2 linked regions of the Daphnia pulex genome follow. The protein of the gene in region 2 interacts with the protein of the main gene of each other region in a pairwise test. Links are inferred from orthologs where the notes say so. Each region holds a gene or a part of one and is shown on either strand. Other genes may lie near its edges.

The links.
Region 1: the proteins of DAZ-associated protein 2-like (region 2) and CLK4-associating serine/arginine rich protein-like interact in a two-hybrid assay, tested with the Homo sapiens proteins (2 studies listed by BioGRID and IntAct). The link is inferred for Daphnia pulex from reciprocal best matches to the Homo sapiens genes DAZAP2 and CLASRP.

Annotation. Positions count from the first base shown.
Region 1 is NC_060022.1:6,845,413-6,853,396, forward strand, and holds CLK4-associating serine/arginine rich protein-like, read left to right. Parts: upstream 1-2,600; 5' UTR 2,601-2,845; coding exon 2,846-2,889; intron 2,890-2,951; coding exon 2,952-3,006; intron 3,007-3,090; coding exon 3,091-3,188; intron 3,189-3,259; coding exon 3,260-3,450; exon of another isoform or gene 3,451-3,744; intron 3,745-3,807; exon of another isoform or gene 3,808-4,260; intron 4,261-4,421; coding exon 4,422-4,655; intron 4,656-4,719; coding exon 4,720-4,895; intron 4,896-4,959; coding exon 4,960-5,045; intron 5,046-5,151; coding exon 5,152-5,694; intron 5,695-5,758; coding exon 5,759-6,049; intron 6,050-6,107; coding exon 6,108-6,162; coding exon of another isoform or gene 6,163-6,166; intron 6,167-6,359; coding exon 6,360-6,420; intron 6,421-6,482; coding exon 6,483-6,537; intron 6,538-6,630; coding exon 6,631-6,681; intron 6,682-6,748; coding exon 6,749-6,845; 3' UTR 6,846-6,970; downstream 6,971-7,984. Other genes in the region: leucine-rich repeats and immunoglobulin-like domains protein 3, read right to left, coding at 7,502-7,984. UniProt on the Homo sapiens protein: Probably functions as an alternative splicing regulator. May regulate the mRNA splicing of genes such as CLK1. May act by regulating members of the CLK kinase family.
Region 2 is NC_060021.1:6,408,153-6,414,764, forward strand, and holds DAZ-associated protein 2-like, read right to left. Parts: upstream 4,142-6,612; 5' UTR 3,984-4,141; coding exon 3,959-3,983; intron 3,878-3,958; exon of another isoform or gene 3,858-3,877; coding exon 3,619-3,857; intron 3,553-3,618; coding exon 3,412-3,552; intron 3,330-3,411; coding exon 3,147-3,329; 3' UTR 2,967-3,146; downstream 1-2,966. Other genes in the region: extensin-2-like, read left to right, coding at 1-250; uncharacterized protein LOC124193795, read right to left, coding at 448-739, 802-911, 974-1,098, 1,165-1,381, 1,445-1,543, 1,603-1,800, 1,868-1,936; serine/threonine-protein kinase PLK1-like, read right to left, coding at 4,914-5,123, 5,188-5,434, 5,497-5,650, 5,715-5,873, 5,952-6,358, 6,421-6,516, 6,579-6,612. UniProt on the Homo sapiens protein: In unstressed cells, promotes SIAH1-mediated polyubiquitination and degradation of the serine/threonine-protein kinase HIPK2, probably by acting as a loading factor that potentiates complex formation between HIPK2 and ubiquitin ligase SIAH1.

The sequences.
Region 1 (7,984 bases), on a different chromosome or scaffold from region 2:
CAAGCAATATGCTTTGTCCATGGTTTCGAAATTAAAATTCCCATTCCAAGCACTACATTCTTCAGTCATCCAGTTTTTAGCCCTTCATTTTACTTACAGCCAACTCAGCTATGACGAATAACTACGACAATGTCAAAATCACTGGCGATTAAAATCAGAAACCCCTTTTTTCTAGCGATTTTTTTTTTTGACTTTGTGGTCACCATTCTTTTTCTTTAGTTTTGTAATCTTGACGTGAGATCAAACCATAAATATGACCAAATTGCAATGAATATTTTACCATTTTCTTCTTGACAAACTCCCGGTAAATTTTTGCAAGAATTCGTGAAAAATTTCATCTCATCTTGAAAAATTAAAACGGTGTAGCCTAGACTTTATCTTTTTGGCCGTTTATATTTTTCAAAAAAGATTAATTTTTTATTGAGAGAGCGATTTTTGAAATTTTTCTAATTGATTTTGACAACCAACACCATGAAATAAACCGGTGTAAGTCGGTGGGTTACATGTTTATGTGTTTATGCCAACAAGCTATAAAATATGTTTTACTTTTTCACGCTAGGGTTACCTTCAAGGCGTGCGTGTAACGTACGTCAACTTCAACTGGCCGATGATGAATTCAAAATGAAGTGGCTTGTGCCCAGCTTGTAGCCATAAATATAGCGACGCGAAACTTTCCAACTCATCTTCACGAGATGTATTCAAACTTGATTATAATTTTTCTTATTTTCATCTAATTAGAATTTTCCCCACATTTGAAAAGCACATTTGAAGCTGTAAATTTGATCCGTAATAAGGTTTCCATATTGAAAAATTTTGCGATCTGTGGATATTTGTATAGTCTGCTATTTAACTTGATAGTAAACTAGATAGTTACGTGGAAATAAAATTTCAGCAAATGAATAGACTTTGGATTGGAGTTGTGTTTAATTGTTTCTTTACGGTGTACCAATATAATAGAAAGGTCGTATTGTGCGATCATTTTGCGTCAATACCATCCAAATTTGCAATGCGGTTTTCACGTTAGTGGGAAAGTTAGGCATAACTCGATGCGGAGAGGGTTTGACACAGAAAAATTTTACATCCCTCCAGCGTATTCCAGTAGTAACAGGCTGAATTTCTGTCTTGCTTGTTATTGATATTTCCTATTTTAAGAGTATTACTATTATTATTATTATTATTATAATTTTTTTTTTAAGTTTGAAAGCTAAATCAATCGTAATTTTCAAAAGGAGAATCTCATAGCATCACCCCCACAGGAAGCCAATATATGGAATGGTCGCATACTCCGATTCAGATCATCTAAAAGTAATAGAATAACTCACATTTTGCGATAAACTCCTTGATTTTTTCCTGATTCTTTTTTTCTTAATAGGGTGTTTCGTCAACAATGCAAGGTGTCCTGAATGATTACTGAAAAACCCGCGATGCCACCCTTAATTTCTTTAATTCATCATGTTTTTAAGGACTCGATTGTTGGATACCGAATTCAATATATTATTCTAATGCCACCATATCAAGGTTGATTTAGAGACTTTTGAGTGACTGGAGATAAATTGGATTGGAGTTCTAAAAGAAGTTCCTAAAAAATTACTCAGGCAAGATTCACATTTATTCTATGACGTCATATTGGGTAGGTGGGTGTGTGGTAGAGATATATGAGTATAGAAAGTATGAGTTGAGGTTGAGGCGGGGATTCAGCCCAAAAAACTTTAAATTAATTGTAGTCCAAGATCTTTTTTTGTTGGACTCCCAGCCGAATCGTCTCATCACAGTTTATTAACCCCATCTCTCACCTTTTCAAAGAAAAAGGTTTTTGATCAAGTGCCAAAAAGGAACCTCAAGCTTCGCCGGCATTTTCTTGATTTAATTCTCTTCTCAACTCACCGCGGTTAGACTCCACCTCTCCGGAGTCCGGACCATCTTTGAATCATTGGAACTCATCATCAATCATATACATGAGCAAGTTGCAAGTTTATTTTTTTAATTTGAAATCCAATTGAAGAAATACTTAGCAAATAGATTTATTTGGGCTGTCTTATTTTTTTTTGAAATTTTGCTCGAGCAAACGCTTGATTTATTTTGAAGTAGTCTTACCAATCTTGATGTGGTATAATTGACTACATATATTTAACGGTAAATGTCGTTAATTGACTTTGTTCTTCACTTAGTTCACTCAATATTGCGTTAATTTCCAATCTCACATTTAACCACTAGTTGTAGTTTAACGCTAGCTTGCATCATTAGACATCGGTAAACCAGGAAAATTGTTACTCTTCTTGTTACCTATTCGTATTTTCCATAAATTAACGGACCATTTTATTACTTAATAAGTATTCTCTAAGTTGAAATTGAGAAATGTGAAAGCTGTGTGACGTACGGTTAACCTACAAAATGTTGTCGAGAGAAAATGCTGTAACCATATGCTCAAAAGATAAAAACTAAAAAGGAAAAAAAAATCTTTTCCTATAACGCTCATTTTTCCACTGCAGTTACTGATGTAAAAGCTGCTAATACATTAGAAAGTTGGACTGTCGAAACGACAGGAGTCGGGAGAGAAAGTTTTGATATTTTGAAGTTTAAGGCCGAGGGTTTGGCGTTTTGCATACATGCGTACATGCGATTTGTTTTGTTTTTTGTTGCAACACCTAAGGCATATAGTACTTGTGTGATCCGCTTGGTGGCTCCTACCAATCTTGTAGAGTATTTTAATGAAGGATGATTAGTCTGCTGTTACTTTGAAGTTTTTCAAAAATATAGAATTGTTGATAATAAGTGAGTAAAAACGTATTCTATACAGTTCAGAAAGTATAGGATTCACTGAAAACGAAGATTTCGACCCATCAACATGTGGCATGAAGCACGAAAACAGGAGCGTCTCCTGAAGTCTATGTATGTGCAAATGGCATTAGATGTCCTTGGCTTTCTAATTCTGAGCTCTTTTTCAATTTAAGGATGGTAGATCACCGAAGGCGAGCTGAAAGGCGTCGAGAATATTATGAGAAAACAGTCAGTCAACAATATAACAAGCTTAATAATTTTATTTTTTCCACCCACAAAATTTAAAAAAAAAATTAATGCTACAATTTTTAGAAAGGAGATCCTGCCCAATTCCTTCAAGTTCATGGTCGCCCCATGAAAATTCATGTTGATCCAGCAATAGCAGCTATAGCGGACAGTCCTGCTACAATGTATAATGAGGGCTCTAAATATCTTGGATCTCTGTACCTATTAACTTTGCCCAAAAAACTTACTTTTACAGGATGCCTTGGCAAGGACAACCAGAAATCTTGATTGACCGGTTTGATGTTAGAGCACATCTAGATGTTATTCCTTGTCGCCCCCAAAAAGATGACAGCGACACTGATCAGGATCCTGGTGAGGAGGTGTGGGAAGAAAGACAAGCGAGCTATGAAAGATACAGAATCCTTGTACAAAATGAATTTATTGGAGGTAAGACATCTCTCAAAGTTCTTAAGATACATTTAGAAAATAAAATCAGTTGACTGAAATCACTCAGTGGTTTGTATGGACAATAATTTACATTTTTCAAAACATGCCAAGATTATGCCTTATTGTAAACTGTATTAAACTGAATAGCTTATGCATTCTCTTCACGAAATTGTGAATATGGTAAGACCGATCCTCTCCTGGTGTTTCCTCCAAATAGTGACCGGGAATAGGCGCCCCTTCAGTTAATGTTGCTGTCACAAGAAGTAGAATGATGAATTTTGCTATTAGTGCACTCTGAAAAGAAAAGGGTGAATAACTTGAATATCCAGACTAAATTTTATAATAAATATTTATTACCTTAATCCGGAATGGACAAGAAGGACAAGCTTCCCTGATCTCCATTAAAAAGCTCTATGTTTTCACCATCAATCGCAAAGAACAGCAAATAAGTTTATTGTTCGATCTCTGTATTTTAGTCTGTTTTTCTCCACTTTCCTGGAGAACAGAAGCTGTCATCACCATTGAAGTTTAAAAGAACAGGTTATGCCGCGATACCCCCAGAACTGAGATTGACGAAAAACAGATTCCGTAGATCTTCTTTAGAAAGTAGGAATGATAATGCCACACTGGAATCCGTTCTTGATTATTTCTTTTCGTTTCGTCCTTTTTTTTCTTGGCACTAAAATCGCGCTCTCTCTGACTAACGAGACAGTTGGCGTTTTCACTGTGCAAGGCCGCTTAAACTTCAACCACGCTGCTCGCTTTCTTGAAGACGAATGCATGCGAACGGTACCTCCGTGTTTGACAAAACCCTTTTCTCCTTCAGCCTTGTCGATTGCGAGAGATAGCAATAATGAATGTTGACCTAGACAGAATATATGTAAGAACTTGTAAGGCCTGGAGGACTTTTTACTTTTGTTTTCTATGCTTTCTTTTCATTAACTAGTTTTTTGTGTAATATGCATTTTTAGTTTCAGAGGAAAAGTTTCTACATCAAATATTGCTTGAAGAGCAATTCGGACCAGTTCAAAAGTTAGGTGAAGAGGAAAAGAAAAAAATGCTTGCGCCGAAGAAAGCGGCCATTGGGTTCACTTATGACGATTCCACGCCATCCTCGTCAGCCGCAGCATCAACTTCGCATAATATTCCCGTGGTTCCTCCCGAAGCGACTGAAGAAGAAGAATCCGATAGCGACATTGATTTGGGTAATATTAGTCAAATACAATCAAATAATCGAAAATATCTGTGAAGACATTGATGATCTCGTAGATTTATCAATTGCTGTCGATAAATTGACAACTGAGCAAATGCACGAAGTCAACAAATGTGCACTTCACTATGGGTTAGGCCGGCAGGACTTCATGTCACTACTCACTCGTGATTTGGATGAGCAAGAGTCATTACGAATCGCTAAAGAGGAAGAACAAGAACGGGCCATGTATTCTGTAATATTGTAAAAATATTTCAGGTTTAGTTTCTAATAACTAACTATTAGACAAAAAATCCTAGGGGAGAAAAGCAAGGAAAGAGCGACGGGCGTTTAGAGAGCAAAAGCTGCAAGCATTGCTTATGAATCGATGTCTGAGTCCTCCAAGGTAAAATCACCCTGCATAATTTTACGTTCATATTTTTGAACAATTTGTTTTTTCCTTTCTTATTCAACATTCTTGTTTGCTTCGTTTTCTTTCGTGATGTTTTTAGTTACGCTACACGAGCTAGCCCAACTTACGATGGACAACTTCGCCGCTCGAAATCAGTGTCCAAGTCACGTTCTCCTTCACCCTTCGAAGGTGGAATCAAATTTATCACATCTTTTGGTGACGAAGATTCGGATCCAGGAGGGAAAACAATTAGCTCTCGGTCTCCGAACAAAACTCGCGATAAAGATTTACCAAATAAGCGGCCATTTGCCTCCACAACTTTTTTGGCTCGAGACAGGGGTGGTCGTCCTTTAAACAGTGGTCGTGACACAACTAAAGTAAATGACAAACGACATTCCCGTTCGGGAGATCATCGTGCCAGATCCCCATCACCTTCCATTTCTAGATCCAGAAAAGATAAAAAATCCGGATCTTACTACAAAAATGAGCGTTCTAGGTCTCGCTCTCGCCGAAGATCACGTTCACGTCATCGTTCCTCACGTTCGCGCTCAAGATCTCGTCGTCGTTCTCGTCATTCAAGATCACGCTCTCGGTCGTATTCGCCGCGAAGTAGCAGACGGCAAAGGAATCGCTCTCCGCCTCGGTACAAAATTAATTTCACGATTAAATTCCTTCGTAAAATTTGAATATTAATTTTTAATTTTTAGTGAGCGCAGTCGAAGAAAATCGTCATCGTCTTCATCAAGCTCATCGTCCTCACGGTCCTCATCATCTCGTCAGTCAATCCGTCGTTCCTCTTCTCCCATTCGTCCACCTCCGTCATATGCCTCACTTGCTCGAGAAACACGCCATTTTAGTCCACCCCAAATATCTAACCCATTACCTGCTCCTCCTGTACGTCGCTATTATGGTCGAAAAAAGAGCGACTCTGATTCGTCTCTCTCGGACAGAGAGTCTACGTCGCCATCCAAACCTACAGCTTCTAATTCAGCATCAAAGTATCTTATCATTTCCTTATGTTAATCTGAAGAGCTGTACACTATATTTCTTTTTCAGGCCTTCAACTCCATCAGTGACAGGTTCTAGTGGTAGAGGCACTGGTGCAACCAAAGTCAGTAAGATATCAATATTTGCAGTGTCAGAATCTATTGTTAAGGAGTATTTTTCGTGTTACTTGTAAATGTTGCAAAGACAGTTAGATTTATTAAGTTATTTAAAAGAAAAGTCCTGCCTTTTTACTAATTTTAGTCATTCGAGTTCACGTGCCTTTTTGAAAGATGTTAATATCCACGCAATATTTTAAAATAGAATACAATGACGCCACAGGAACGACTAAAGCGCAAGATGCAAGCAGCTCTCAACAAACAATGTACGTTGTTATTGCTAGATAAAGCTTTCCATGACTAGATTGATATGTTGATATTGTTACAGACAAGGCGGATAAACGGGCTGAAAAGGAAAAACTACAAAAAGTAGAACAGGAAAGGTAAAATTTGGGCATTAACAATATTCGTTAATGTACATTTAAACACTTATTTTCCGTTCAATAATAAAAACAAACTTTGTTAAACAAATACAGAATGAATCGCGAGGAAGAAATGCGCGAGCTTGCTTTACGCTTACGTCGAAAGTAAATGCTGTACCATAACAAATATTTTCGCTTAAAAGCTAACAATTTTGTTCTTTTAATTCTTTAGAGAGCGTATGCGACGCCATGCTGCGCAGGGAGAATCGGGTTCTTCTAGCCCATCTTCTCGTTCACCGTCACGCTCACCTTCGCGTACGCCGTCGTAAAAGTTAGTTTTACCTCAAGCGTTTATTGGAGGGAGATTTTTTGTCCTAACTTTTGAATTGCATCCGTCGTGGAAAGACAGATCAATATCTGGAAATATCTGGAAAAATACACTTATTACCTTATATATGTCGAGTTAATGAAGTGAAAAAGGATAAAAATTATAACAATGAAGTCTATTTTTCGATTACAAGAAGACAACATTATGGACGACGGTTATTCAATACTCTAAAATATTGTGAGCATAACTCTTGAAAATAAGAGAAACACAAATACATAAATTTCCTATACAGCCATCCTCGAATATATTCTATTGAGTGGCATGTTGAAATAAACACCAATGATGAACAATTAAAAGCTCAGTTGAACAAAACGAGAAGATATGATTGCAATGCAGAAACGTATACAACGCAGTATTTTTAACAATAACTTCTCAATAAGGCTTAACTGCGGAAATGCCTTGACACATTTAAAAATCAGGTATGTAACACAACTTTTACACGATAAACATTATTAACGCGACTAGGTGATCGGTACAAAGTGCATTCAACAATTTCAAAATCTTAAGCAACTGCCAAAATTTGAACAAGGCCACCAAATTTTCACATTCGTAGTTTCAGAACATTTTTCTGCGATTCACATAAATAGGCATTTAGTTTTAGATTTCGTGCCGAGCCAGGCTGTAATTGGCAACAGGAGAACCCATCGAGTGCCGTGAATTACGCGCGCATCGGTCTTCGTAAAGCGACATTCGCCCTCGTGAATGGGCTGGTCTACTTGTGTGCTCTACTTCCGTGAAGTGAGTGCTAGGTCTTGGTTGAGGCACAAAGGTGCTGAGCGTTCGGGTGTAGTTGGCGTTGGAATAGTTGCGAGGATGATTGCTTCTACAAGGTAATCTGGATGACACTGTACTATCAGAGGCTTCAGTGACGGCAGTGTTTAGACTATGTAAGCTGTGACTGACGACATTATCGTTGATCACCGTTACGTCCTCGTTGCTGTTGCTTCTTCTACCGGAGTCGCCATTACCGCTATCTTTGCTACTTGAGTGTTCTGAATCCGAATTATTATCGGCAAGATACGTGTAGAGTTGCCCAGTAGATCCGACACTTTCCTTGTATGCCAAAATCTCCAAATCAGG
Region 2 (6,612 bases):
TTACTACACCGAGGCTCCATACTACACAACCACAACTGCTGCCCCTGTCTACTACACTGAGGCTCCTTACTATACAACTGCTGCTCCGGTTTACTACACTGAGGCTCCTCATTATACAACGGCTGCCCCTGCCTACTACTCTGAACCGGCTTACTACACAACTGAAGCGTATACCACAACTACAGCAGCCTACAAATACGAAGCTCCCACTTACGCTCCACCGAGCTATTATGCTCCTCCAGTCTATTAATAGCTCTAAGTTGTACAAGCTTTTTACCTTGGAATTGTTATTTCGAATATCTTTATCAGAGAATGTTAATAGATTACGTTACGCTAACTGCAATTGGTATTAACTTGTAGTCATTGTATTTCAACCTTAAGGAGGGATTCAGCTCTTCAGTCGTGTAAAGTAGTTAGACAAACATAGTCAACATTAGAACTGAAAGTTTAAAGATTCATGGAGAATGTGGCAATGGAACGACTATTCTTAGCATTATCGACATAGAGACGCCACTCCCTGCGGTTGAAATCAAAAATTCCAGTAGCGATCGTCAATACGATATCCTTCTCCGTTCCGCGACGGTAAATCGGATAATCTTGATCATCGTCGTTGGACAGCATGTCTACAACCTCTCCGATATTAGTAGGTAAACCCAGAGTTTCCATTACATGATGGCGACCGTTACTGCTGAGTACAGCCAAACCGTTATGATCCTCGTTGATCTTCAGTCGCAAGTATCTAATCGATGTAAATAATTTGTGGTAAAATTGTGCTGAACATTGTTTGAAATTGTTGTATACTTATTGCAGCGAACATGACTCTCCCCAGGCGAAATAGTCAAAATGGACAGTTGCGACTCGTTATTCTCCGCAGGTCCTACTTCAGCGCTGTGAAAGAGGATTGGTCCTTCCTGTTTTGGTATATTGATTAATGCCAAATTTAACTAACTTTTCTGATAATTTATTATTTTACTTGTTTCATGAACGACATGTTGACGCAAAATCCGTGAGCAGATCCGGTTCCTCTGTCACGAAGAATGGCCTGAGCGTCGACCAAATTCCGAGCGCTAAGCATCGCCCTTGTCAGGAAATGACGCGCTGAAAAAAAAAGAAGGAACGCAAGTCTAAACTAATCAAACGAAAATTAATTTAATTATCAAGTACGTGTTTTGTCATTATGGACCCTGACAGGTTCTATAATATTGATGGTGTAAACGAGACCGTGCTCATTAATATTCATGCAGAAGCCAGGCAAGTGCCCAGCGTAACAAAGCGACGAGAATCTCTCATGACGTCCACATTTTTCGGTAATATCAGCGTGAACGATGTACAGATGGTTGAGAGTTACTGCAAAAGCGTCTTCCGTGTGTCCCAAAACCACCTAAAAGTAAGATCATTTTTCTTTTAAACTTTCACTTTTATAATTAGTTGAATTAGAACTTGCGTTTTCGTGGTTGCACATGACGCTCGAACAACCGTTTCCTGATAGTTGAGATGACGACGAGGCCTCTAATATCATGCTATCGATGTGCAGTAGCATCAACTAAATAGACAATGTTGGAAAATTATTAACATCCACTTAAAAAGTATTTGAAACTGGACCTTGTAAAAGGGCACTTGACTGCCGTCAGAAATTCCTTGCAACTCATTGACGTAATAAGGGAACTTGGCTTTCATTCGAGCTAGCGTGTCGTCGTAGATTTTCAGTCCAGCAACTGTGTTGTAGGCTGGCAACAGCTCGTCGTTCAAAAATTTCGAGTCTCGAACTAGTTCTTCTATCTGATGTTTAAAAGTGTGGCCCTGTCGGATAGTTGAAAAGTCAAGTTAGAAAGTCTAGGATTGAATTTTGTTTTCCTCTTTTTCTTACCACATCGTAGCCGACTTGATAGAATGTTCCTCGAACGTAAATAACTGGTAGGAAAATTCGGTTTTCCATGTTGCTCTCTCGAAAGATGAAGCGGAAATGGATCCAGTCGTCTTTTCAAAATGAAAGCGTCCACAAGAATCCTTACAACATCGGTCAAGTTTTAATCTTGTTAAGGGCCAAACACGTAAGAAATAATCCACTTTTGTGAGCCAAAACTCATTTCATTTCGGTGCACTTTGCGCATGTTTCTTTTAGAAGTTATTAGCCGGAATAGAAAATTTGCAAATTAGAGAATTCCTTCTTACCAAATAAATTACTTCTCGCGCACTAATAAAACTGACGCCAATTTCTTTGGTCCACCTTCGCGCGTTGTTGATAGTTTTTATATAATCTTCTTACGTGTCGTTATAATACAGATAGTATCGTTGACACAGCGCTTTGATAAAAACAAATCCCGAAGACGTGCGTCACCAAAGTTTAGATAAATCGCAAATAACTGAGCTGTGATTTAACTTGCAATAGCTCGAGAGAATTTCTTGATAAATGTGAAGCCACTTTTCCGCTTACATTACACCTATGTGTATGTATATGTGGATTTCACTTACGCATTTGTTTAACCGGAATGTGAAATCAAAATAATTTATTATAATAATCCTTTGTCTTTCATCAGACGTATTAGGTAATAGATATCTTTATCTGTTTTCAGTCTGACATAACTAAAAAAAAAATTGTATAGTTCTTGTCCCATCCTCATCGATGCTAATTAAATTACAAATTTGCAAGTATAGGCAGATGGTGATACCATGTGACCACTTTGTTTAAAGGAAGACCGCCAGTTGTTGTACCTCTCCACCGAATTTGTATGGGCCGGTGTAATGTTACACTGTCGCAGTTGAGCACTAAATCGGGTTGGATTTTTAATCGAACGGAAGATGGACGCCTTACGACACATTTCCTTTCGGCGGAAGACTTATGGAGCAGATAAGAAAAGAAATTACAGGTACGCTGCTTTGCCCATATTATTTTCAAGGTTGTGTAATTCTTTTGTTTGGTGAAGGATTATGAATAAGTTCCGGCCAATGAAAGACTAAACAAAAGCAAATGTTAGAAATATTTATGTCATGGCACACATTTTCTTTAAGGGCTAAGAGTACTATAACAGTAATACTGTTTCCGATTTTTTGCGCACAACTAACAAATTAATGATTTTATTGAATTTAATAGGTATAATTGGGTATGCATTTTGTTGCTGTTGGTATGGCAGTTTGCAAGAATTTCTTCACCAAAATGTAGCACCTCCATCCGAACCACCAGTGAAAAACCGATCCTGTCTTTGACCTAATACTACATTATGCCCAGATCCGTGCGCCAACTGGGCAGCATTGGGTGCAACACCAGGAGGAGGTGGAGGAATCCTCACTTGTGACGTTGAATCGAAACGCGCACCAGCATCGAATGCTTTCTAATTAATTATTTTAAATAAGAATTAGTATAAAACTTTGACAATTTAACTGGTTGAACTAAGAAATGTAATATGTACTCACTGGAACAACAAAAGTAGCTTGAGGATGGACTTGCTGCACATGTACTTGGGGTTGATGGGGTTGATGGGATTGATATGATTGATAGGGTTGATAGTAAGGCCCTGGGGCATTCATGGGCACTTGCTGCTGCTGCTGGATATGCTATAGAAAAATAAGTCTTGTTTATAAAATTTACTAAAGAAATGTTTATAATTAAACATTTCTTACCTGAACTGGAATGTAAGATGCATTATAGTTAGGTGGGGCAACTGGGTGGTGCATTGCTTGATCATAACTTGGTGGTGGTGGCGGCATTCCAGACATAACCGGCACATAGGGATTGTAAGGACTGGAGGCAACTGCTACAGCTGGATTCACCATATTGTTTCCAGGTGGGTACATTGGGTATGGCAATTGTGGAGGCCCTACAGGCTGCTGCTGCTGCTGTTGTGTTGGATAAGCTGCTGCTGATTGACATTATTGAAAAGTAAGGAAGTTTTTTTTTAAACTGTTATAGCCAAATGTATCCTAATACATCATGGTACTACTTTATATGATTAAATCTTACCCTTTTTTTCATTCTTCTTTGGCATTTCTTCAATTTGCTGATGGGTTACTTGGACTAGAGTGAATGTCAGCTATGTATTTTTGCAGAACTGATCCACTTCTTAATAAGAAACGTCAGCAACTAGTGCGTCAGTACGTGTTCTAATAACGTTTTTGACTCACGATTGGTAATTTTTTTGTTGCGCAAGCAGACGTTATCAACAGAAAACAAACAGTTGATAACATAAACGTTGCCATATTTTGAATCAGTATCGATTTCTTTTAAAATCATTTCCGTTGCGGTCTCAAAAGTCAAAACCAGCTTACAGTCAACAAGTTTTATTGGAATACTATATTTTTAGAATGATTTAAAATTGAAATAACAGTGTATATGATAACAAAAACAACTCATGTCAAGGTGTTGTATTTTTCTAGGTACTTGGTATTCCCGGAGATTCGTCCGGACTTTCGAGGCTGATTCCCATTCTACGTAAGAAACAATGCAAAATATTTGAGGCAATCACAACTGAAGACATGCAAGGGGTGATGATGTAGTGTAATTCTATAAATCGCGAATTGCCAGACGTACAAGAGGAAGACAGAAGTTAAGATAAAGGCAAGGGAGGGGGCATCAGGGTATTGTAATTTCACACTTCATATTCAATCCGAGGTAGGCATGTACTTGAGACGAACAAATCAAAATACATCACAATTTCGTAAATGAGATGAAGTAGTAACACTGCTTGTTAACTTCAAGTTCGAAATTAAGGGCGACATAATAAAAGATAAGTTCGTGGATTAAAGCCTAAATGGGATTAAGTAATTTCACACTTATTATAAAATTTGAAGGAGACACGTAACTTAATTGAATGGTAATTAAGTCAAGAATGGCCATCTAAAAAAAAATTAAATTAAAAGACAGCGAGGGGCAAATTTGATTAAGCGAAAGACGATCACTGTTGGCCAGCGATAAATTTCTACTTTTCCTGAGTATCTACTAACGGTGAGAGTAAAAATGGCAGTTTTTCGTGTGCGTATTGCAGTCTGTATAAGAGATCAGGATTGCAACCGTGTTCAGCCAGCAAAGAAAATTTGAAGGTACGGAAATTTTTCTTCTCGTCGATGACTGTCACAGCTCCCATGAGTGGACAGAGGATCAATTTAACGTGGTCTTTAAAGTAATTAATCTAGTAACACAAAAAGTTAATTATTGATTAAATGAACAAAATAGACTTGATGAGATAACTTTACCTGTAGCGTTCCACTCGTTAGGTGCATGACGACAGCTCGAGATGTGCGGAACCACTGACGTAGGAAAGGCAACCGAAGATGTTCATCACCGTCACGTGGAACAACGGATGCACCAGTCTTGATTAAGTGCTCTTGCATGTAAGAGCGGAAATATGCGAGCAGTTTCACCTTTTTACCCAAGGTAGGCGGATGTTGATCCATAGTGTAATACAACTCATTTCCATTGCGTTCGACGTACTGAATGGTCCTATTGCAATTATTGTAGTTGGCATTTAGGTCTTAATTATTAATAAAAAGTAAAACTCTTACTTTGCGTCAACCAACAGCAAAAGTTTCGTTAAATCATTGAAAATGACACCAATTGTATCATCGCTGAGTTGGTAGCCGAACCCGTATTTGTCAGAATAATCTACCCATTTAGAAATCCATACCATAGGCACTGAACCCGGATCCTCTGCCTCGTCTGAGATCAACAATTAAATAAGTTAAAGCAATTTTAATAATATTTAAATACTTTAAACACGCACCCATCATAAGAGGGAACTTCTCCGCAGGTTTTGCACTGAAGAGGCGGGTGAGCTGTTGCTGAAGCTCACGCAATAGTTTCTCAGGAGAAGGTCCAGCCGTGTAGAGGGCTCCGGCATTCTCAGCATGGTTAGGTTCGTTGGAAGGCGCCAATCCATCTCCTAAACAAAGCAAACACACACACACAAATTTATTGTTAGTATCTGCTCCAATGTGTTGTTTGGAAGTGTTTGAAGAACCTTGTGGATGCTCAGCAGTTCCAGGTAAATGGACTCTGTTAACTTCGCCCAGTGGACGACGAACAGCAATAATGCTGCTATTCAATTTGGCATCGAATCTCGGAGCCATCGTGAGGCATGATAAAGGCAAGCGTGTTGGCATATAACCACATGTCATGAATTCGTCATTCAAAACAATATCGACCGCAGGTCTAGATAGATAATTCTGAAAATCTTTAAAATTACACAACACTAATATCAAGTTATTATACCTGCAGGTTGGTTCACCCTGTAACATTCGAGTTATAAGAGCACGGGCAAGAGGCCCGATCCGAGAGGGAATATGATATTCATTTCGTTTGATTTTACTGTATGTATCTTTGAGAGACTGCGTCTCAAAAGGTGGACGACCAACAAGTAAAGTATACCTGAGGATTTAATACAAAAGTGAAGTTATATTTTAAAAAGAATAAGAAAAAATAGGTCTTACAAAATGCAGCCCATTGACCAAATGTCAACTTCAAAGCTATGGCCTTTTTTGTTGAGAACCTCTGGAGCAATATAGTTGGGAGTACCACAAAGTGTTCTAAGTAAAAAAATAAAATAAATTATAAACAATTCCATGCAGCTACACTTGGTTGCTGTTACTTTTTTCTCTCTCCACTAAAATCTAATTTTGTTG